Linked DNA regions of Lonchura striata. The protein of the gene in region 1 interacts with the protein of each later gene in a pairwise test. Links are inferred from orthologs where the notes say so. Each region holds a gene or a part of one and is shown in the gene's direction. Other genes may lie near its edges.

Region 1 (7,180 bases):
ATTTTGCACTATCAGGCAATCTCAAATCAACTCAGTCCACTTAAAGAGATATGGGAAAAGAAATTGCTTGAGTCACTCAGCTACTTTTCTATCTCGGGCAAAAGGAAAACTGAAAATTTCTTACACAGTTGATAATTTCTGCTTTTTATTTGGATAACACAGAACCCACAGCACTAGACCACAATTTATGGAAATTTCAGCTCAAATATTAGACAACTAGTTAGAATTGTTACCAAGTAAAAACAAGTAATTTATCTTTGTCGCTGATGTTGTAGAAATTCTAAAGCAGTCATGTTCTCCTCAGTGTACACTGTTGACTTGCTCCACTTTAACCTGCTTTAAAACAGTAAAAGTCAACTAGCAACTCTTACTCCAGTTTGCAGCCTGTATTTTTCCACTCTAGAGTTAAAACTGTATGGTAATGGAAATTCTGCATTATTGTGCTGATCCATATGAAACAATGGAATTATTTCAGCCTTAGGCCAATGTAAATCCCAGTGCAACTCTGGTCCTCACACAGCGGCTGTGTGGGAGCACAGGAAGGTGGGAAGACTGGTAATGCCAAGCAAGGCTCTGCAGACAAGGTCTCTGCACCAGCCTGTCACAAGTAATGCACTCACAGAACGGGCTCCAGCCATCCCTCCAGGTATCAGCATAGAGAACCCAAAGCCTTTTCCCATGGGTCTGGGGCTACACATCTCCTTCTCCAAAATCCATGGTACTTTACATACATAGAGAGTAGAATTTCCCTCACTGGTGATTTTTGGCTGCCACTAACAGCCAGTAAATTTGACATATGGCTACGAATAACTTGACATTCTCTCTCTCAACTTTGCTTCAACTATTAAACCAAAACATGTTCTACAGATTATTACTTTTGTCCTCAAAGTAGGTTAAAAACATCTGGAAATGTTAATAGCAGAGATATAAGAAAGTTAAATTTTTAGTTTCCCTGTCAATTGTTTTGTTTACCATCTCCTTTCACACCACAGGTACTCCACAACCTTCCCAGTGCTTTCCAGCAGCGCAGCACCACGTCCCCGTCAGAGCCGAGGCATTTGCATTTCAATGCCCTGCCCGTACCCGAATGTCAGCTCTGACACACCGACTGCACGGGAGGGAGCAGCTGGGCAGGATTCCTGCAGCAGCACAGCAAGTGGGGGCAGCGGGGTGGCAGGAGACAGCCCTCACCTCGGAGCCCTGCCTGGCAATCCTCTGGGCTCCCTGCTCCGGGGCTGGGCAAGAGAGGCTCCAACAGCCTCACTTAAAAAAAAAACTATTAACACCGCCTGAAACCAAGCCAACCTCATCAGAGAGCAATCAGAACAAGAGAAGCAGTGACACGGAGGAAAGCTGCAGATCCTTATCTCTTCAGAAAAAAGGGCAAAGACGACATGGGCCATTAGCAGAGATGGGATAGTGTGATCCTAAACCGGGATGAGGGGCAGCTGGAGGGAAAAGGGAGCCTAAGAGCAAAGACTAAACAGGAAAAGGGAAAAGGAAAGGAGACACACAGGCGGTTACGTTCAGAAACAAGGTAGAGAAAACATGTTACAAGTTGTTAACTTAGACTAAGCTTTCCACATACATATTTTTCCTAGCATGATACAGAAGGTTAACAGTAACTGTCGATGTCTATGACCCTTATCAATAGATTATAATAGCTATCATAATATTTTACTATCTTGTTTAGAGGAAAAAAAATTAGTCAACATTTAGGAGTCATTTAGACAAATAGAAACACCCCCCCCCCCCTTTATTTTTCTTTAAGTTGCTGATTCCAACCAATTCCCTTACTTGGAAAGTAAACAGGAAATAATACATATATTAGTAAACATGCCTGGAAATGGATTTTCTAAAGAGCTGAAAAGAAACACAAATTACTCAAGAAGTTGAAATGATATTTTGTCCCTTTGCTCTCTTTCACTGAAAGAACCATTAAACTGGCAGATATGTAGGAAATGCTGCTCCTTCAAACTAACTGTATGCTCTAAATCAAACCTTGCATCCATTATGAATTGCAGCTGAGTTAAAGTGCCTACCTGCAGCCAGGCCAGGCAGCAAAGTCTGCTGGCTCTTTGTTCTGCAGCTGGCAGCTCCTGCCCAGGCTCAGGAATCACACCCCACCTGCCACTGCTGTTCAGGTGAGGAAGGTGTAGTTAGGCCAAAGAGATCTGTTTAAAAAGGTATTTTAGGAAGTCTGTGAATGAAGTCATCTACATGGGATAATCTAGCAATAAGGTAAAGCCATCAGGAAATGAATACATAAGATTAATCATGGAAAGTTACTCATGGAAAACTGGTAATTCCTTCTTGCATAGTTCTGTATTTTAGAGAATAAAACAAAGTTTTCCTGAAAACACACTGAGCAGTAACTCTGCCAGGAAGATGCTTCATCTGGATAAAACAACTCACCTACTTTACAGACACAAGCTTTTAAGCCAGTATGAAACTAGATTAAGAGCTCTAACAATTCCATACAATCATGTACAATCTCCACAAGTATTTGCTGCTCTTGCTACACCTCTTGATTCAGTCTGTCTAGAGGAGGTTTTAAGTCATAAGTCACACAGAAGGAAGTACATCCAGTTTGTCACAAAGGTAGCTGTTCAGCTGGCAATTTTAAGCAAGTTAAACTTTCTAACTATAGAAACTAATTATTGGAATTCCATAAAGTCTTGTTTCCTAAAACATCTGTGTGTTCTTTCCTTCATGCCCATATATCTCTGTATGTTATTTTTTCTGTAAATATCTGGGAATGAAGTGTTTTAGCAGACATTAGACAGCCTTTATGCCTCAGTGAGGAAGGGGAAAAACTTTGGAGGCACTTAGAAAGCAATTAAAGAAGAATGAGCTCTATAAAAGTAAATGGCAAAGACCTAAAGCAAACACAAACTATGATCTCTGAGAAGGATCCCCCTATTAAATTCGAAGTCAGAGATCCACCAGACGATATTCCCCCTTGCCCCTGTGCTCACCTTGGAGCAGCCTGGCCATTCTGCATCAAATATCAGCTGCTCCACAACTAACAGAACTGCAAAGTATTCACATCGTTTCATTTGCTGTCCCAGCGCAAATCCCAGCTTTCCCAGCCCAGCCTCAACTTCACCCTCAGTAAAAACTGGCAAACAGACCGACCCACATACAAATCCAAAATAACCTTCGAGAGAAAGGACCGAGAGGATGGAATGCAGCTACACACGTACACGCTAACACGTAAAGCCTTTCAAGTCAGTAATTCGTAATAATAACAGAGCACGGACAGAGCCCCGGCAGGAACAGCATCCACCCGGCACCCACAGCAGCTTTATCCCGGGAAATTCCTCGAAGGTGTCAGCGCGGGGCAGGCGCTCCCCGGCAGGGCGCGGGCCCGCGCCGCACGCTCCCGGCCGCGCTGCGGGCTCGGGCAGCGCCGGGGCTGCCGGCGAGCACCGGGGCCCCGCGCCGCCAGCGGGGGCGAGGGCGGCGCGGCCCCGCGGGGCCCCGGCGCGGCTGCCGGCGCCAGACGGGCTCTGCGGGCGCCGCCGCGACCGGGACCGCGGCGGGGCGAGGGGCGCCGGGGGACCCGAGGGGAGGGAGTGACGGGCAGGCGGCGGCCGCGCCTCGCCGGAGCCCCGCTCGGTGCCCCCGCCCGCGGCCCCGCGGAGGAAAGCGGACCGCCGCCGCCCCCCGGCCTCCCCTCACGGCGCGAGGGGTCGTCACCCCCTCCCGCCCCTCACCTGGCAGGGGCTCGCCGGCCCCGCGGCGCCTCCCGCGAGGAGGCGGCGGCTGCGCCCAGGCGGCTCCGTGCGGGCTCGGTGCCGTTCCCGCCGGGCCCGCCGAGGACGCGGCTCCCGGGACGGGGCTGCGACCGCCGCGCCCGCGCGCAACAACCAACTCCGGGTGCCGCCCCCCGCGCGCGCACCGCGGCGGGGAGCCCCGCCCCCCGATCGCTCATTGGCCGCCGGCAGCGAGAGGGCGTGGCGCCATCGCGGGGCGGCGCGAGGCCCTCGGGCGGCCAGGGGAACCGCCGTGATAAGACTACAATTCCCGATGCGCACCGCGCGCGGGCCTTTAAATACGTACCGTCATCTCGCGCGTGCGTGTGCAGAAAGTGTGTGCTTCCGCCTGCGGTGGTGAAGTAGTCCCGCTGCGTGGTTTGAGCTCCAGCCCCGCGCTGGGCCGCTGAGGGAGCGGAGCGGCGGGCGCTGAGCCGGGAGCCCTCTCGGCTTTGCGGGCCTTCTCCCGAGGGGCTCCTCTGGGGGAGGCGAGAGGGCCGCTCTGAGGCGGGAGCGGAGGGATCCGAGCAGGCGGAGTTGTTAGGCGGCGGGCGCGTGCAGGACGCGCGGCGGCTGCGCGGGCTGAGGGGACCCGGCTGAGGGGACGCGGCCGCCCCCGGGACCCCGGCCCTGCGCCAGAGCCGCCGCCGGCAGGTCAGTGGGGACGGCCGCGGGCCCGCCGCCCCTCCTCGGCCGGCAAGGAGTCGGCGGGCGGCTGCGGGTGCTGTGGCCCGCCGTGAGGGGGGCTGGGGGAGCCGCCGGAGCTCACGGGGGGTGAGGGGGAAGAACCGGATGAGGGTCTAAGTGCTTGGCTTTCCGTATTCTCCATTATATATCTTTCCACGGTTCCCCCAAAGCGATATTTCATGGCTCCCTTGGTTCTATTTATTTGTCCTTTCTGTAGGTCCACTTAACGTTCCCTTGTCAAGCAGGTGATTTGTTATAGCGTGGTTTTCTTATACTTCTGTCCAGGTTTCCACATTCAGTTCCCCGTCCCTGGGGGAGTGAGTCTCTTGTGTCGAGGTGGTAAAAAGAAGCCCCGGCCCTGGGGCTGAAGACACCGGGGCCACGTGCCTTGCGAGGCGCCATTCATTCCCGTCCTCTGGAAAACCAGCGCGAGAGTGGAAAGGAGGAAGGGCAGGGCGAATATAAATAAAAGAGCTCCTGCTCTCTAGAGTAGCGTCCTTCAGCGTTTTTGGCTGCCCATTCCTGTCAATAAAGAATGCTTTTTATCATGCCTCTCTCAAATATGTAAATTTATTGGTTCGTCAGTTATCTACACGTAGTGCTCTTCTGATAGATTATAAAACGTACTCAGACATAGAAATTGAGAAAGGATAAGACAAAAGTGAAACAGAGATGGTATTTTAAGACATTATTTCATAAAGCTGCAGAAAATGCAGATTTTTGGTTTGCTTTGCATATGACCCCCTTGACCACTGTGCAAATTCTTCTGAAGTCATCATTCTAAAGAATGTAAACATAAACTGCCGATGAAAAGAAATATGTTTTCTTTTTTAATCCTGGCCACGTGTGCAGGGGTACAACCTATTTGAAGATGGTAAAATGATAGTGAAATGCTTTTTTACCTTCTCTTGGCTTTTTTCACACCTGTATCATATGTCTGTTAGAAGGGATGAGATATTTTGTATTTACAGAACTATATCACTTGGTGGAATATAATTCCGAGTTCAGGAAATTGGGGTAATCTGATAATTTTTTTCCCCCCTGTCCTTAGAAATCCGGCATGCCTTGAAATAGAACTTGAGAAGTTTGGCTTAGAAATGGTGTGCAAAACAGAGTATTTTGATTAGTCTTTAAAATCCTAAGTTAACTTTTATTTAGGATCCCAGTAGTTTTCAAAACAGAAAAATGAGAGGTTGTGTGATCTGACCACACTGTCTTGGTTATAAGTGGATTTTTTGTTCCTTTGGTTGCCCGTGGCGGGGCACACAGAGGGTATGTGGTGATAACATTTGTGGCTCAAAAAAGAGAGCAGAGAATTGTGTTCTTTTAGGTACCTGATGCTTGGGTCCAGCTCCTGGGTGTACCTAACTGTTAGAAGGTGACTATAACAATTTCTGGTGCTCTGCAGTAAAGCAACCACAAGGAGAGAGATTCTCACTGTTTTCCACCTTCTGCTCTTGCAGGGGATCTTCCCTGGCCCAGCTCAGGCTTGCTGTGTATGGCTGGCCAGGACTGCCCCCAGAACTGAGGAGAGGAGCTGATCGCCTCGTGCTTCTGGATTGCTGGATGCCAGCACTGACTGTGAGCTGTGCTTTTGCTTGTACAGCATCACGATGTTACTTTAAGTATCAGAGCACAGGAATGGAGAACATTGTGCACTGATGTGCTGGGCTTGACTTTGTAACCTTTGTTAGTGTCTGTTCCCAGTGAAGTTAAATAAAGGGTCACTCAGTATCCAGTGCCCATTAGCAGGGTGTGTCTCCTCACCTGCCACACCGGCTCAGCCTTTCCATGCTAATTGCTTCTTCTTGACTAAATAGGAATAAATAAACTGTTTTAGGACCAGTTATTCAATGGGATTTTTCTCAAGTTTACAGGCTCATACAAGTTTCTGAATTCTTGCTGTTTCACCCTCCTGCCCTCTCCAGGCTGTGGGTGAAAAATTTAAGTATTGCTGCCATGCACACAGAGCTGTGCTTGGTGTTTTTGAGTGTTGTGGCATGTGCTTTGAGGAATTGTTAGAGAATAAAGTAATAGAGACCCTCTTGATAATGATCTGTGGGAGGGATGGGTGACTCAAAGAAACAGGCCTGTACAATTTTGAGTGCAGTAGGTGAATACAGAAAGGTTGTCTTTTTTTTTTTTTTTCCCCAGTTGTTCATGTACCTTTAATAAAATGCTGTTTCAATCTGAAATGCGAGTGGCTTGGGAGTCCCAAAATGAAGTTGCTCTCTGAATTCTTTCTAGCTTTTTAAATTTTTTTACTTCCATGATTTCCCTTAGAAAGAGAGGGGAAATGTTTCTTATGTTCTTGGGAGCTGTTAAACTTCTGCTATTTTTAAGACAAGAAGAGTGATCAATAAACACAATTCAACATGAGGTATGAATTACTAAGTGTAGTTTGTTTTCAGAAGCCACTGTTTTTTTGAGAGGATTGGTTTATGAAAGCAGGTAAGGCTAGTTGATGGCTATTTGAAATACACAGTCAACTGGTAGCTAAAGCTTTATTGATGTAGGTCAGGCTCCGTGGCAAGGTGAGCAGTGTTGGCCATATTGTGTTGTCTGACTCCAGGAGTGGCTCCTTCATGTCCAGTGGCATCAGCAGCACAGCTGTTGGCTCTGATGGTAGCTGTTAGTTTTTACTGGGAGCTGGCCTCGATGGTCCTTGTGGGTCCCTTCTGTATTCCGAATTCTGTATTCTGTGGTGCAAACTTGTAGTCTGATACTGGACCTTG
Region 2 (7,767 bases), on another chromosome or scaffold:
ACTGCTAACCACCCATAATGTGTTCATCAACCTTGAGCCTCAGGTGAGTTACCCCACCAGGTGATAAATGAAGTCTTTTGTCCTCAGTTAAGTAAATATTAGGAAGAAAAAGGCCTTTAGAAAAGGCAAGGACATATCTAAATTAAAACATTAAGGCAAAACTTGTAGAGAGAATGTTTCCTTATTGGTTGAACATATTTTTTCAAAAATAGCATTTGAAGAACAGCTAAGGAGTTAGGAACTTAGTAAATTTTGTTCAAAATAGATTCTTATCACAAAGGCTGATAAAATTGTACAGTTTAATACTCCTAGTAAAAGCAATTTTTCAGTTGCTTAAAATGTCACTAAGGCAGAGCAAATTATAATCTGGTGCTTCCTGCAAATGAGTTAACACAGTTCATTAAATCAGTCATTCTTCTCCACAGCTTTTCAATACCCTTCTGGGACGTGATTCTCTAAATGTTCTCAGTGGATGATACACAGGATCATTTGGTAGGGTACGGATGACTCCTACCCACTCGAACCCAAAAGTAGGACTGAATTGTATCTTTTGTTCTGTATCTTAAATTCCCTTACAGTCCATTCCAAGTTAATCACCTGATTTCTTTCCTACTCAAAGGCCATGTTACCACTCTTTGATTTGCTGTTGTAATCTTACCTTTGAAGAAACAAACCAATTTAAGTCAATTTATGTATCATTATAGAAAGGGATTTATGTACTACTGCAGAGAAGATGTGAAAAACCCTGCCAAGACAAAGCAGCTGACACCTTACTAAAATATGTTCCTTGAAAGCTTTTTACTAGGACACACCTAAAATAACTTCCAGTTTCCCAGGCTGGGCTGAATCCAGTGAGGTGCTTTCCGTGAGGGTTTAGAGGGTTTCACATGGCCAAGTGTCCAGAAAGGCAAAGAGAATCCATCATTCCATGAGATGACATCCAGTCTAGGCACTTAAAATAACAACACATGAAAGTGGGACTTCGTCTTTCCAAGGGTACATCCCACTTTTGTTTTCAGTGATCATATTTAAAAATTCTAATAATGTTGTTTCAGATAGAATACAGAAGTGAAACAAATGTCCAATTAGGTGTCAAGAATAACAAGCTGACATTTGTTCTCTACCCAAGAAATTGCTTTTTAACCTTCCATTAGGCTTCAAAAAATACAATCAAATCATTTTTCTGGTTGAGCTTAGTAGAATCCTGTCTTATGAGTAATTTAGGCTCTCTATGCATAAAAGCCTCTTAATATTTCCATATACCTCCAATTCTGTGCCAAGTTTTTTTTCTGCACTTAGTAAAGTTAAACTATTTTGTTAATATTTGATAGTGTACTTTATTTGCAAATCTCACCTTTGGTATTTTATTATTGCTATGTAGAAAATATTCAGATTATAAAAAGAAAAAAATGCAAGAGAACCTTTTATTTTCATTTTTCCCTCTCCCAAAGTAGTTAATTCCTCTGTTTAATTTTTCCCCTCCTCCAGAAACAGTGCTAATCACATAACATCTTCAGCATTTGTTATTGATACTAAGTGTATACTATTGCAGTGGGTATTGCTATCAATTCTTTGCTGCCATGTTAGTGAGATAAGGTAAGACAGGTCATTAGGGCTAGGCAAGGAAATACAGTTTCCCAAACACATTTTGATTTAGTGGGGCCAGACTGTATCTGTCAAAGTGTTTATGTTGAAAAATCTTGCATTAAATCCTGGATCCTTCATCCCTCCCTGGAGGATCTGATGCTAGCACAGACAGCAGGTCTGTGCTAACGTGGAGGATCCTGACTGAAATGGGTCAAGGAATGCAGTACAAGAGCTTCAGCACCAGAGGAGAAAACGCTGACAGCCCAGCATGGTAACACCTTCCTTCACGCAGCTGCCTCTAGAAAACAATAGCTCTGCTCATCTTAGCTGGAAAAGCTGAGGTACTGCTATGTTCCCCTTCTTAAACCATCCAGTATTGTACATATGGCAGGAAGGTAACATGAGTATGCAATGCAATAAATAAACAGATCAGAATTTTTTTTTGTTCTTTTTTATCATCCCCTCTTTTGTCCTTCCTTGCCTGAGAGAGCTTATCTCCTCAAGCTGTTGTTTTAATTTGTCTGTCATATCTTTTCTTTTCTTTTCTTTTCTTTTCTTTTCTTTTCTTTTCTTTTCTTTTCTTTTCTTTTCTTTTCTTTTCTTTTCTTTTCTTTTCTTTTCTTTTCTTTTCTTTTCTTTTCTTTTCTTTTCCTTTTCTTTGCTTTCTAGAGGTATTACTGAAACCTTGATTTTTATTCCCAGCATGTACTGTTTAGCAAATAACACTTGTCTAATTTCTAGAAAATAGTTGCAGCTGCACTTTTCTGCCTTTTCTTGTCTTTGTGAAGATAAATCATCATCACTCTGTGGCAGTAAAACAGAGAGGTAACTATTCCCGTATTTGGCCATTTCTTACCATTGTCAAAATAAATACTTTCATCTGTGCAACTTAAATATGAAATTATGTCTGTCCTTTTCTGGAACCAGCAAATCCTAACAATGACAAACTGGCATCTGAAAAGAAAATGAACAATTAAGATGACATTTATGCTTAAAATTCTGTATCACTCAAAATGAGAGCTCCCAACTCTGAAAACTCCATCTTATCTTTACAGTGGAGATTATGAGGTTATGATGAAAGTGGCTGTGACACTCATGCTACTGAGGTAGATAGTAATAAATAAAATCTTATAGTTGCTGAGGTAGGTAGTAATAAATAAAATCTTAGCACCCAAAAAGTGCCAAATGCAGAACTAAAGCAAAAACACCCTAACAGTTGCTACCAGGGGCTGCCCATGGAAAACCTATTAGAAGAATTGTGATGGTCTCTGCATTAAAATTTACTGAAAGGACAGTCTTGAGGTCTAAGTGTATTGAGAAAGAAACACTTGGAATGAGGAGATAAGTTTTCACCAAGGAGAACTTAATGACAACAATGAAACAAAGCATGTTAGAAGCTTGCAGCTTAACAGTGAGTACCATAAGGAAATTCTCCCCAAATCACTGGGTCTGACGTATGTAAAAGCAGTAATAGCTAAATAATAACATGGAAAATAAGACTGTGCACTGTTCTAAGTACAATTTGTGATACCTGGTGCTAAAAGTTCTTCGTACTTGGATTCTTACACCATTACAGAAAATAGGGTTCTGTAGATCTTCTGCATGAAGATCTGTTTAAATGTCCTCCATTTTAAGAACCTCAAAGAAGGGTTTCTTTTGCTTGTATACTGCCAAACACAAAGGCTGCTTAATCTTTGGTATTTCTGAACACTGTTGCAGTAGGGCCATTCAGAAATAACTGAATGGATTCTGGATTGCTTTTTACATTCATTAAGACAAATCAACTCAAATCAAACACTGAAAACCTAGAATAATATCTTGAGCTGTTCTGTTTTCACACACATTGAAGAAAGACCTTGGCAATACCATTCAGGCTGTGCTGCTTGTTCAGTTGGCTGGCAGAGGAGCAGTATTGGCTGATGTGGTGTCACAGGCAAACACCTTACAGATGTAGATGGACTAAAACAGAGCTTCTTTACTGAAATATCTTGATCTAATATGGTCAAGAAAACAATGTTGCCATAGATGTGGTATGAACAATGACAGCTTACCAGCTGGGGGTTTTTACCCCTTTCAGAGTGATGTGGATTTTTCCTGCCATACAGATGTGGGAGCTGCTTTCTGCTGACCCTCAAAGCTGCTTCAACTCCTAGTCCAGTGTCTGCAGCCACAAGTAGCTTCTCTGCTACCATCATCCCAGGTATTTGCAACTCATCACACAGGAAGTCCAGAAACACGCCGAGAAAGCACTGTTGTTTCTCAGCCATACTTTGTTAACCATGATGTCTTTGGTAGAAATGAATCCCAGGTCCCCACAATTCCCATGGACACAGCTTGCACAAGCTGCATCAAGGTCAGACCCTATAAGGAGGGATGTTCACGCTTTGGCAGCAGCCTTGGCCTTGGTTAGAAGCATTTTTACCTTATTAAGAATTCAGGGCTCCAGATACTCCACAGACGTCCCCTGGTGAGCATTTAGCTCAACTTGAGGACAGAAAAAGGGAAAGACCCCCTGGTCTGGCCACCTGAACTTGGACAGGAATTGCAAACCTGCTATCTTTAGCGGCTGCTCTAAGTCACCAAAAACCGCCTACTGAGAATTTCTATTTGTATTTTACATATTCTGTGCCATTTGCCAGCATTAGAACAATATTAGTACTTTTTGTGGCAGTGCTACACAGTGAACTTTTATCTGATTCATCGGTCTGTGAGAATTCATCTGTCCTCTTCGGCGTCAGGGGTATTTTGACATGGCAGCTCGGGGCTTTGTAGGAAAGAGAATAGCTATGAAACTATACATAGAAAAGATTGGCTATGATTTTTATTGGCAACGCTCAGACAGAGCTGAAGCAGTTTCACAGGGGATAAACCCGGCACTGGAGCAGGGTTACCGCTCCACCTGGCGGGCACCCGGCGCCTCAGGGGCGCCGGGCCTCGGCCGGCGGCGGAGAGCGGCGGGCCCGGGGGATGCAGAGCCGTGATGTCTCTCACAGCCCGGCTGCGCTGCTGGGAACGAACCACGGGAGATCTCCAGGGCCTAAGGCACCACCCCACAGCCTTTCCCACCCACCGCAGTCCCGTGGCGAGGCAGCAGGGCTGTGTGGGGCGCGGCACAGCGGGACTACAGGGCCCAGGCTGCCGCGGGCGGGCGGCAGGGGCGGGGCCGCCGTGCGCCGCTCCGCGCCGGGCTGGGCCCGCCCGCCGCCCGCCAGCATGGCCGGCTTCGCCGACCTGAACCTGCCGCAGGGAGCGGACAAGAAGTGCCTGCAGAGCCTGCTGGAGGCCGCGGCGCACCGTGAGTCCCGGTGGGGCTGGGCTGGGAGCGCGGGCCGGCCCCGGCCAGAGGCGGCGGGACGCGAGCGGCGGCGGCTTCCCCGGCTCGGCAGGCGCAGCCGGAGCCTGCGGGCTGGGTGGGCACAGATCCCCGGGATGAGCCTTCCCTTCCCTCCGGGCAGGCCGGCATCGCCACCCGCCCCGGCGCCGCTGCGCTCCGTGCGCTCCGCCCGCGGCTCTGCCAGCGCAGTGCCCGGGCCGGGTCTGCCCGGGTCGGGTCTGCCCGGGCCGGGTCTGCCCGGGGCCGGGTCTGCCCGGGGCCGGGGTCTGCCCGGGGCCGGGTCTGCCCGGGTCGGGGTCTGCCCGGGGATCTGGTCTGCCCGGGTCGGGGTCTGCCCGAGACAGGGTCTGCCCGGGTCGGGGTCTGCCCGGGTCGGGGTCTGCCCGGGGATCTGGTCTGCCCGGGTCGGGGTCTGCCCGGGTCGGGGTCTGCCCGGGGCCGGGTCTGCCCGGGTCGGGGTCTGCCCGGGGCCGGGTCTGCCCGGGGCCGGGTCTGCCCGGGGCCGGGTCTGCCCGGGGATCTGGTCTGCCCGGGGATCTGGTCTGCCCGGGGATCTGGTCTGCCCGGGGCCGGGTCTGCCCGGGGATCTGGTCTGCCCGGGGATCTGGTCTGCCCGGGGATCTGGTCTGCCCGGGGTCGGGTCTGCCCGGGGATCTGGTCTGCCCGGGCCGGGTCTGCCCGGGCCGGGTCTGCCCGGGGCCGGGTCTGCCCGGGCCGGGTCTGCCCGGGGATCTGGTCTGCCCGGGGCTGGGACTGCCCGGGGCTGGGTCTGCCCGGGTCGGGGTTTGCCTGGGCCGGGGTCGCTGGGGAAGCTCCTGATGCGCCTTGCAGCTCTGCCTCTCCCTGTGTATCCCAGCGTAACAGCTGTTTTTTCCCCAACGTGGACCAGTGTTTCCGCCTGCAGTTTCTAGGGCTCGGCTCTTTCCCTGCAGAGCTGTTGTCAGCCACGTGCTGCCTGTGCGGGGTTTGGGCGGCTGGTTTAAACGCCCCTGGCGTCTCTTCCTCAGAGCCCTTTGAGCGGTACCTTCTCCTCCGTGTAGTCGGCATCGTTTTGAATTGCTCGCTTTGCCTTCTCCGACAGCTGTATCTCTGCCGGCTCTGCGTTGTCTGCAGTTTTAACAGCTGTGCTGAGTATACTTAGCAGTTTTCCATAGAGAAAGTCATAAACAGGGCCAAACTAAGCTAGACCTTTGGGGACACCAAGCCCATGTATTTGTGTTCATAAAGCTCTGCGATTGAGTAAGAGTAGAAAGGCCTGGACTAGGCTAAAAACCAAATAGATTTTTTTTTTCTGTTTTAAAGTATTTTTTTGGGTGAACCAGTCTTTTTAAAAAATACTGTGAAATCTAAACATGCACATGGTTATTAACCTTAAGACATTTAAGTAATGACTATTTTACGGTTTTCTCATTGGATTTATTGTCTTTTTGTTTACTTGACAAAATATTCTTACTATGTGTTTTTCAGTGGGGTATTCTGCAGTTGCACTTAATCATGTCATCGACTTTAAAGAAAAGAAACAGGTAATTTTTCTTGGGGTTATTTGGTCTTACTGTCTTTTCCTTAGTAAACCTGCTTCGTTACTGCATGTTTCCAGATAGCTTTAGCTACAGAATGCACATCTAGACACAAGTACAAATCTCTGTATTTGTAACAAAACTCCCATTTTATATTGCAGTAAAACTGCCTTTGGATTAATTTTTAATCTGCTTCATGTACTGTCCCACAAAAATAGTTTTCTTAGTGTGGTGAATTTCTTAAGATTGGAACACAGTTTTTGTTTACATGTAAACCTAACCCATAACAGTTTTAATAACTTTATTTTCTTCTCTTTCAAGGAAATCATCAAGCCAGTATCCCCTTCAGAGTTGTTTCCATCTTTACCTATTGTACAAGTATGTCTAGTTGCATTCTCTATATATACTGTTATTCTGAATTACCCTTTTTTACCTTTGTGTGTTTGTATATGTGATTTTGCGTATGAGGTGTTAATCAAAAAAGAAAAATTTGTCCATTGTTTCATGGTTAAACCTCCAAGCATAGGAAGAATAGTTAGCTCACATCAGGGTAAGCTCTATTCATTATTTTAGAAATTATTAAAGAAATTTCTTTGTGTGAATTTTGAATCTGCTAGTAATTGAATAATTACAGTACAGTTCTTGAAATTTAAGTTTTGGAAATAACTTTGTGGTTTCAATGGAGCAAAATTTGGATATAAAAAAGTACAATAATATGTTTTGAATCACTGACATTCATTAATTCAGGAACTGCTTTTACTTGCTGTTGTGGCCTGCCTGAGGAATCACAACAGTAGTAAAACATACTCAATTTTTCTGCATAGTTGTTTGTCTTTTTTCTTTCCTTTTCTATTTATCCTTCTCCAGAGAAACACAGTAAGTCATTCTTTGTAAGGACAGGTATAATATCAAAGAGATATATCAAGACACCATTTTCTTTTTATAGCAGACTGGTGGAAATTACCACAAATTTTTGCTTTGGATTATTAATTTTTTTTTATATTATCCTTTTTTTCTGTAGGGAACATCTAAAAGAATTAAAGTCTTGACCCGCTTAACACTTGTTGTTTCTGATCCTTCCCACTGTAATCTCTTGGTAAGTATACTCAGCAGTCAATTTTGCAACTTCTATTTCTTTATGAATGAATGAAACTTTGGAAATTCTATGGGGATAACATCCTGGAATTTATAGGGCACTCAGCAGTGATTTCTGAGATTGCATCTTTAACAAATAATGTGATCATGAGGAGATGCAGGCTTACAAGACTGTATATGGCTTCTGTTGATCATTTTCAGTATGGAACAACAGTTCTGTTCCTTGGTTTCCGG
Region 3 (7,413 bases), on another chromosome or scaffold:
TTCCAGAGAGAGCTGCTGTCACTGTAGGTGTCCTAATCTTGTAATCTTTCTTCCAAGACCCTGAGCAAGATACCACTAGAGCTAGAGAGTCACACACAATATTGGTTTATGGCAATAGGTTAAAATAAAGGCAAATGCCTGGGTACTTGAGCATATTCTGGCTTGATGCAATCTTGATGCAATTTAGCAGCTATTCCAGCTAAACTTAGACATTGATAACAGAGGTCCCCTGATTTGGAACAAACCAGGTATTTCCTTCTTGGTAATGCCTCTGACACCCTGAATTTGGGCAAGTTTTGATTTTTAGGGACCTTTGTAGCGGCATGCAAATGGCCATCAAATGCCACTGATTCTGCTGGGTGAGGTCTGGCACTAAAAGCTTCCTTAATTTCCATAGGCCCCTGCTGGACTCTTTCCTCACTGATCTGATTCCTAGCCAGAGCATAAACCAGAACATAAACCCATTGACTGCAAAGGAGGGCCACTGAAAAGGCCTGGCCTTGTTTATGCACATGTGTGTTTTACCTCTAATGGAAAAGAAACGTGGCAATTGTTCATGTTGGTAATTGTTGGTTTTGGTAATGGCTGTCCTTTTTCATCTACCCCCTTTGAAATATCAATTAGCTTTCTTGCTTCTTCTCTGATGAGCTAAACAGGGTGGCCTTCCTGGAGGAGGATTCAATCAACATGCAAATATCAAATTATATGGAGAATAGATGACGCCTCTGTCTCAGCCTTTGTGAACTTAATTCATAAAGCGTCGTAAGCAAAATAATTGCTTCTTTTTTGAGTCTGTAATTGCCAAGTACACTATATTTGCTGTTCAGGAAGAAATTATCACTGTGCTATCAGATAAAAATCTGGAGCTAATGGGAAACACAAAATTTAATGTCAGGGAAATACAAAACAAGGTCATGTAATTTCTGCACATAATTATGATAGTGTAAGGCCTAATTCTGCAAGACCATGAAATTCATCCACTGAACAGAAGTCCTGATAAGACAGGTAATTCTAGGAGTGGATTCCTATTTAAATAACAATTGTGAATAACATTCTTAACTAGACTTAAGTTGGGATAAAAAGGCATTGTGGTAAACATTCAGATAAGGCACATTAGATTTGATCATAAGATGCATATGTAGATAATTCTTTAAAAGTTTCAGGGAGTCAGCTGACTTGTTTTTGTCACATATAGCTCTTTAAAGCAAAATAAAAGAGACTGATGATTAGGGAGATAGTATCTCAGTTGCTAATTTGTGGCAGAATTTGAGAGCAGATGTTCTTACCCCAGATCAGTGATGTAGTACAATCAGGCAGGTTTCTTTTGACTGTGGTATTTTTGTGGATAGACCAGATCAAGGAGATGGAACTTCTCTTGAAAAGCAGATGAAACATGTAAAACCAAAAAATACCCCACCTTTTAAGCAAAGAAAATGTGACTAGAGCAACAATGTAAAGGAAGGGTGTTTAATGCTGAACTCTCATGTGCTGAACTTGCCAAAGCAAAATACCTGTAATGCTGTTACCAGCTTCAAAGCCTTGCGTTGGTAGCGTTGCCCCCCGAGTTAATGCAGTGCTCCTGCAATAGTTCAGGCAGCACAACACTGACAAAGCTGATTTTAAAAAAAAATATTAAATGAGGAGGAGAAAAAAAAAATACCTCTTAATGCAAAACAGGAATAAGTAATGGCATGAGATAAAATAAGAGGTAAGGACTAGACTTCTGTGCAGGTTCTGCCCGTCACGGGATGTCCTGGAGCAGTTCAGAAAGGACCATGCCCATCCCTGGGGTCAGCACCCAGCAGGCAGCAGGAAGGGATAACTGGATAATTGCAAGTGCACGAGGAGTGTGAATGAGTGGGGACAGGTGGAATCACAGCTGTGGCAGGAGCACTGCTGGAAGCACTTCCCCTGCCCAGCTCTCCCAGCCCTGGCAGCTGCTAGCAAAGGGACCAGGCTGGCCACACTTCACGTGGCTTGGCCCTTGGGGATGACAAGGTGAAGTGCTTTGCAAGGGTGAGAAAAGGCCTCAGGTGTCTGTGTTCACATCAAAGGAGACAATCTGCCACAGCAGCTGGGAGCCAGTAACTGAGGCAACTTGGTGCCCAGCACTGAGCTCACGTGTCATAGTGCAGAAACATGCTCCGTCTTTCCATGTATGATGCCTTGATGTGTCATAGTTGCATTCCTTCTGACAGGAGGCAGAAGCACCTCTTTTACTCTGCTTTTGTTGCCACTTGACACAGTTCATGGAAGTGAACATGGTTGTGCCTTGGACTAGGTGAGGGAGTAAGCAAGCTCTGCCACAAATGCTGCCAACTGAGAAGTAAGATTATCCCTTGGAGAGAGATTTTCATTGCTATTAGATAAATCTAGTTAGGTTTCCTTGTGCTTACATTTATGAGCATGCTTGAATGAAGAAAAGACATACTCCTTTTTCAGGATTCTCCTGCTGCCTAGGCACTCTGTGTCTCTGCTGCTTTTCTCCCATGTGTTGGTAGCTGCTGGGAGCAGCCACAGCCTTTGCCAGCTGAAACTGCAGCTTCTCACACAACAGGACCCCAAGCCAGGGCATCTGGATGCTATCATAGGGTCAACAGCAGCCTATGGGTGGAGTCACACAACATAAAATTTGGGAAGAAGAGACGTTAATATGGGACATCTACTGTTGCACTCCTGAATTTCAGAAACTGATACCTTCTGCATACACATGCTGCCCTGTAACTGGGATTATTGACAGGATTGACAGTGCTCTCATAGTATCGGCGTGACATTGCAGTAATCTTCATCTCTTTCATTACCAGCTCCAGAAATAAAGGATATCTTATGTTGGCATCTGCATTATTTGCAAGATGTTCTCACTATTCATCACAATAATTTTGTTTCTTGTCTCTTTCCTCTTCTCCCCTTCTGTGTATAAATGCAGCATATTATCTAGGTTCCATGATATTTTTTCTCTTATTGTTTCTCAGAATTGTATTTCCACATAAGACTGACTATGCAGTCTGATATTGCTTCCTTTATGAGAGTATTAGATTTCTCAAGAGATGAAATATGGACACTATTAGATGGCATTGACTTTTTTAAAGCTGTAAGTAGTGGCTGATAAAATCAGTAACACAGATCATTTTAAGTGACCTTTCATCCTAATAATTCTTTGGCTTTGTCTGATACGGAAATTAATTTTACATAATGTGAGAAGATATATGTATGAGTCTTGAAAGAGCATATTTTCTTCTGAGTTACTGAAACTTGCAGCTGTATTTTCTCTTTGAAGTTTGTGTCATTCTCTGTGGTAAATGACTGAAGATGCTCTCTGTCTGTGTTAAAATTTTGTGCAGTGGAAGATGTGGCTAATGTGAGATGGAGGTATTGTGGTCACACTGTGAGAGTTTTATCACTCCATGAGGGTCTGCAGGAGGCCATCTATGGCTGACCCTGCTTGCCTGTTTGAAGGTGGGTGTTTGCAAGGGTTCATTTTCAGAGACAGCAACACCTCAACCACAGTGATGTCAGTAAGGCTGGTGTTGTGAAGGCGGAGTGGCAAAGGGGACTCTGCAGTGCTGGAGTCCTCTCCAGGGCTGTGACAGCAGCTGGAGAAAGCGAGTGTGGCTGAGGATGAGGGTGGTGGGATGAAGCTGCCTGCCCAGGGATTGCGTTGTGCAAAGAGCAGCTTGTGATCTTCAAGGAGAAAGGTTTGCATAAGGAGCTGAAAAAAGGTCCAGCAGATCCATAACCTGGAGTTATTGGGTTTTCTCCATTTACCGTGGATGGATGGGTAGAATAGATCCCCAAATCCAGAAAAGCCAATGCCCCAGCCTCCCCTGGAAAGGAGCTGCAGGTACTCACTAAGTGGAAGACTCCAGCTCCCATCCTTGTCCAGAGACCATTGTCTCTGTCTGCACCTGTGAAAGAAGACTGCGTTGGGAAAAGCATCCTGTGGCACTGGGACTGGGGTGGGAATGGAGTCAGAGAGTGCAGCTCCTGCTGCTGCTGGAGAGGGACTAATGGCACCTCCTTTATCTGCACCATGGATATGGAAAGAGTGAGCTGGGGGAAAGCTGTGCTTGTGACAGAGAAGTGATATTGTTGATTCATATTGTTGTAGCATTCAGAGGGCAACTTTTGGGTGTCTGCTGTGTTGAATGCTGGGTGAACATGTAATTGCCATCAACAAATGAGAGCAAATGTCAGTTTTACTTTGAGGTGAGAACCCCCTTTAATTGAGGGTAAACTATAGCCATGAAAGGCTCAAATTACTTGAAAATTTTATGTTCTGCAGTATGGTGCAGTAATACAGAAAAACATCTTTTGTGGATGTAACACATGGAGCTGTAACACATGACCATTGAAGGGCTTCCATCAGCTTCTGACTCAATCTTTCATTTTTTGTCTTTCAGAACCTGTAACTGGGCATTTTAAAGGGGCTAAACATGACTGCTGGCACCAAAATTTGACTTTATTTAACGGCATTTGAGGTAAACCTTGTTTAGTATCTAATCTTTTATTTTACTAAATAGGAAGATTATTAGTAGTAACTTGTATTTCATTACCTTTTCTCTGTGCTTCCAGACTCTTGGAGGAGAAGAACATTTAAATTCTCACAGCTGTGTGAATTTAGAATTACTAAACAATTTCCATTCTCAACTCCTGTTTTCAGTTGATTCTCCCTTGTCAAATAAGATTGAATCCAAATTAATTACATGTTATACTACCTATCCCAGGGGTTGGTGACTTTGCAAGCTTCAGCAAATTTGATCCATCAAATTTGGAAAAAGCCTGACACAAACCAGTTTAATTTCCTTAAGCCAGAATTCTTGGAGCTCTTTAGCCTGAACTGCAGTGCCTCATTTTGGAGCAGGAAATGAAGCTCAGTAGGAGGGTTTGATTTACAACTGGATCAGTTTTCAGTTTTCCCTCTCCTCAAATCTGGCCAAGACATAAACCTCTGAAAAACAACTTCACTATTTCACTTGCACTTTAGCTATATGGTGCTGAGGGTAAGTTCTCAGATGATTTCATCTCTGGACTTAAGGCTCCAGCCCAACATCATCTCAGGAACTCTTCCTCTGTAATTGGGCATTGGAGCCAAGGATGAAGGAATGCCACCCTTGCAGTTCAAGCATATGGATGCATAAGGCAAAGCTGTGAAAAGCAGGTGGAGACAGACTAGTGAGTGGAGAACAGATGTAGGGATAGACAGGGTAATCTGGATGGTAGGAATAGGAGCAGGGCAAAAAAGCTGAGTAAGGAGCTGGGATATGAAGCTAGAGAAGACAGTGGGGAGGCAGGTGGGTTGTAATCAATGGAACATATGTCCTTCTAAGATCAAATTCAGGATGGGTGAGTTTCTTCAGAATCTTCCCCAGCAAATGGACTGAAAATAATATCAACATTTTTAAATTCACATAAAATGTGAATGTCCTCCTACATAGAAGGCAAGGGTTTGCTGTCAGCTCCATGAGCTGAGTTTGAAGGGATTCACAGATTGAAGCAGCCCAATTTGGTAAGGACTGCTTTGGGGTGGAGCATAGAGGTGATTTCAGTGCCTCATACGCACAAGAGATTATAGTGCTAGTGCATCAGAGTGAGCCAGAAAAGCACTGAGACATTTCAGTACAAGGTCTCCTCAGTCACTGTGTGGGACAAGTCACCACAGAGGAACACTGCTGCCATATTAAGCATATTAGTCTCTAGTGATAGCATTTGAACAATACCATCAGAATGCTGGCAGACATGTTTCAGAACACTCTAATATCTTGTATAATATCAGCTAAGGAATGAATTGCTTTTCCAAGCTTCATCAAGAGAACTGGGTCAGATTGGCAGAGCACATACTGCAGGGTACGTGACACTTCTAAGGAGAGAAGTACAGGATACAGGATATACTGAATTTAATACCTTTTGTATTAACCCTGACAGCAGAAAACAGCTCTGTGTGCTTCTGTGCTAGACCTGAAGTGATCCATTCCCCATACATGCTGAACCCTAGCACTTATTGCCATCTGGGTTAAGGGTCTGCTTTTCTCCTCGAGAAAAGGACTGTGAAGGGTTGACAGCATTTGAGCAGGGTTGATGCAGAGACATAATTAAAGGAGAAGGCAGGTATTAAAATTAGTGGGTAGCCACAGGGCATTGATCACAGGAAAGTGACAGTCCTGCAGCTGGAGCACAGACAGCATGATACCTTGGCTGGGAGAAGAAGTGAAAAGCTGGCAAAGTGAGGGATGTAGCTGAGACATGAAGGAAGAAGGATTGGGATGGGGGGTGTGTGTGGAGTGTTTTGTGCTTCCATTTAGTGCCAGGGAGATGTGAGCAGCAGTATTTCAGTTGTAAGTGACTGATGCAGGCTTGGTTTGAAGAAGTACCCTTGAATCTCTGCAAAGTATTTTTTGGAGGTAACATTTGCAAGAGCAATACATTTTCAATACAAGATCAGTGCTCTCAAATCCAACTGAGGAGGCTTTTGTAGAAGATGATTCACCTTGCAGGGAGATCAGGTGCACCTTTGTTGGGGAAGTAGGGCCAGGAGACCATTGAGCAGTGTCAGCAGACCCCCAGAGCAGCAGCTGAGGGACTGTTGGCTCTCAGACCTCTCTTGAGTGCAGTTATGACATTCCTCCAGGGAAGGAACCTCTCCTGTGCTGCAAATTACATCCTGACTTTGACCACCTTGATGGGGTGTAATACAAACCATCCTATGGGTCACTGAATGATCGTTTGTAGACTGTTAAAAATATGAATTTGGAAGAGCAAGCTCAGTTAATTGAATTTACTCATTTGGAAATTTTTCCTCAAGCCTTGTTTGAGATCTGCATGCATTTAGTATATGCATGTCTTGTAAGTGCCAGAAGAAAATGAATATGCAGGTCATGAAACAGACCTTTGGATGGCCTCTCATTTAGGGAAGTGAAGGGATATTTCAAGCAAGGCTGAAAAGTTTCCCTCCAGGGCAATGCTTTTCTGGTAGAGATGGCTTAAACTGTCCTTTTTGATCACCATATCAATACAAAGAAGTGTGTTGGGGTCTTACTTTTAAAACCCTCAAATACTAGATTTACCAAAAACACATAATGTAACAATTTAATGTTAATGATATATTAATGTAAATTTCATATTTAGTGCTGCCTCACCTGTACTTGGACTGAGACTAAAACAAAGCAGTTCCTTGGCCCTGTCCCCTTCAGTCTCAGCCCCCAGCTGAGACCAAGCTCAGGGTTTCATTCCTGCAGAGTGAAAGGAGAAGTTGGCCTAATGTGGACCTGGGCAGTGTCTTGATCCCTCTAAATCCAGCAGAGCCTTACAGATATTGTGCATAGCACTGTGGGCTTTTTCTTGCCTTGCAAAGGTCTGCATTAGAGAAACGTGCCTCGGGACACATTTTCAGGGAAGAAGTAATGTGCTCAATATACC

The links. The genes of interacting proteins can lie anywhere in the genome.
Region 2: the proteins of HMG20A (region 1) and RPP30 interact in binary tests that used the Homo sapiens proteins (3 or more experiments, as listed by UniProt). The two-hybrid records come from large-scale screens. The link is inferred for Lonchura striata from reciprocal best matches to the Homo sapiens genes HMG20A and RPP30.
Region 3: the proteins of HMG20A (region 1) and HPCAL1 interact in binary tests that used the Homo sapiens proteins (3 or more experiments, as listed by UniProt). The two-hybrid records come from large-scale screens. The link is inferred for Lonchura striata from reciprocal best matches to the Homo sapiens genes HMG20A and HPCAL1.

Annotation. Positions count from the first base shown.
Region 1 is NC_134613.1:5,200,045-5,207,224, forward strand, and holds the start of HMG20A (high mobility group protein 20A), read left to right. Parts: upstream 1-4,163; 5' UTR 4,164-4,412; intron 4,413-5,908; 5' UTR 5,909-6,026; intron 6,027-7,180. UniProt on the Homo sapiens protein: Plays a role in neuronal differentiation as chromatin-associated protein. Acts as inhibitor of HMG20B. Overcomes the repressive effects of the neuronal silencer REST and induces the activation of neuronal-specific genes.
Region 2 is NC_134609.1:16,214,558-16,222,324, forward strand, and holds the start of RPP30 (ribonuclease P protein subunit p30), read left to right. Parts: upstream 1-4,759; 5' UTR 4,760-4,800; coding exon 4,801-4,882; intron 4,883-6,388; coding exon 6,389-6,444; intron 6,445-6,759; coding exon 6,760-6,816; intron 6,817-7,459; coding exon 7,460-7,534; intron 7,535-7,767. UniProt on the Homo sapiens protein: Component of ribonuclease P, a ribonucleoprotein complex that generates mature tRNA molecules by cleaving their 5'-ends. Also a component of the MRP ribonuclease complex, which cleaves pre-rRNA sequences.
Region 3 is NC_134605.1:99,285,796-99,293,208, forward strand, and holds the start of HPCAL1 (hippocalcin-like protein 1), read left to right. Parts: upstream 1-4,405; 5' UTR 4,406-4,478; intron 4,479-7,413. UniProt on the Homo sapiens protein: May be involved in the calcium-dependent regulation of rhodopsin phosphorylation.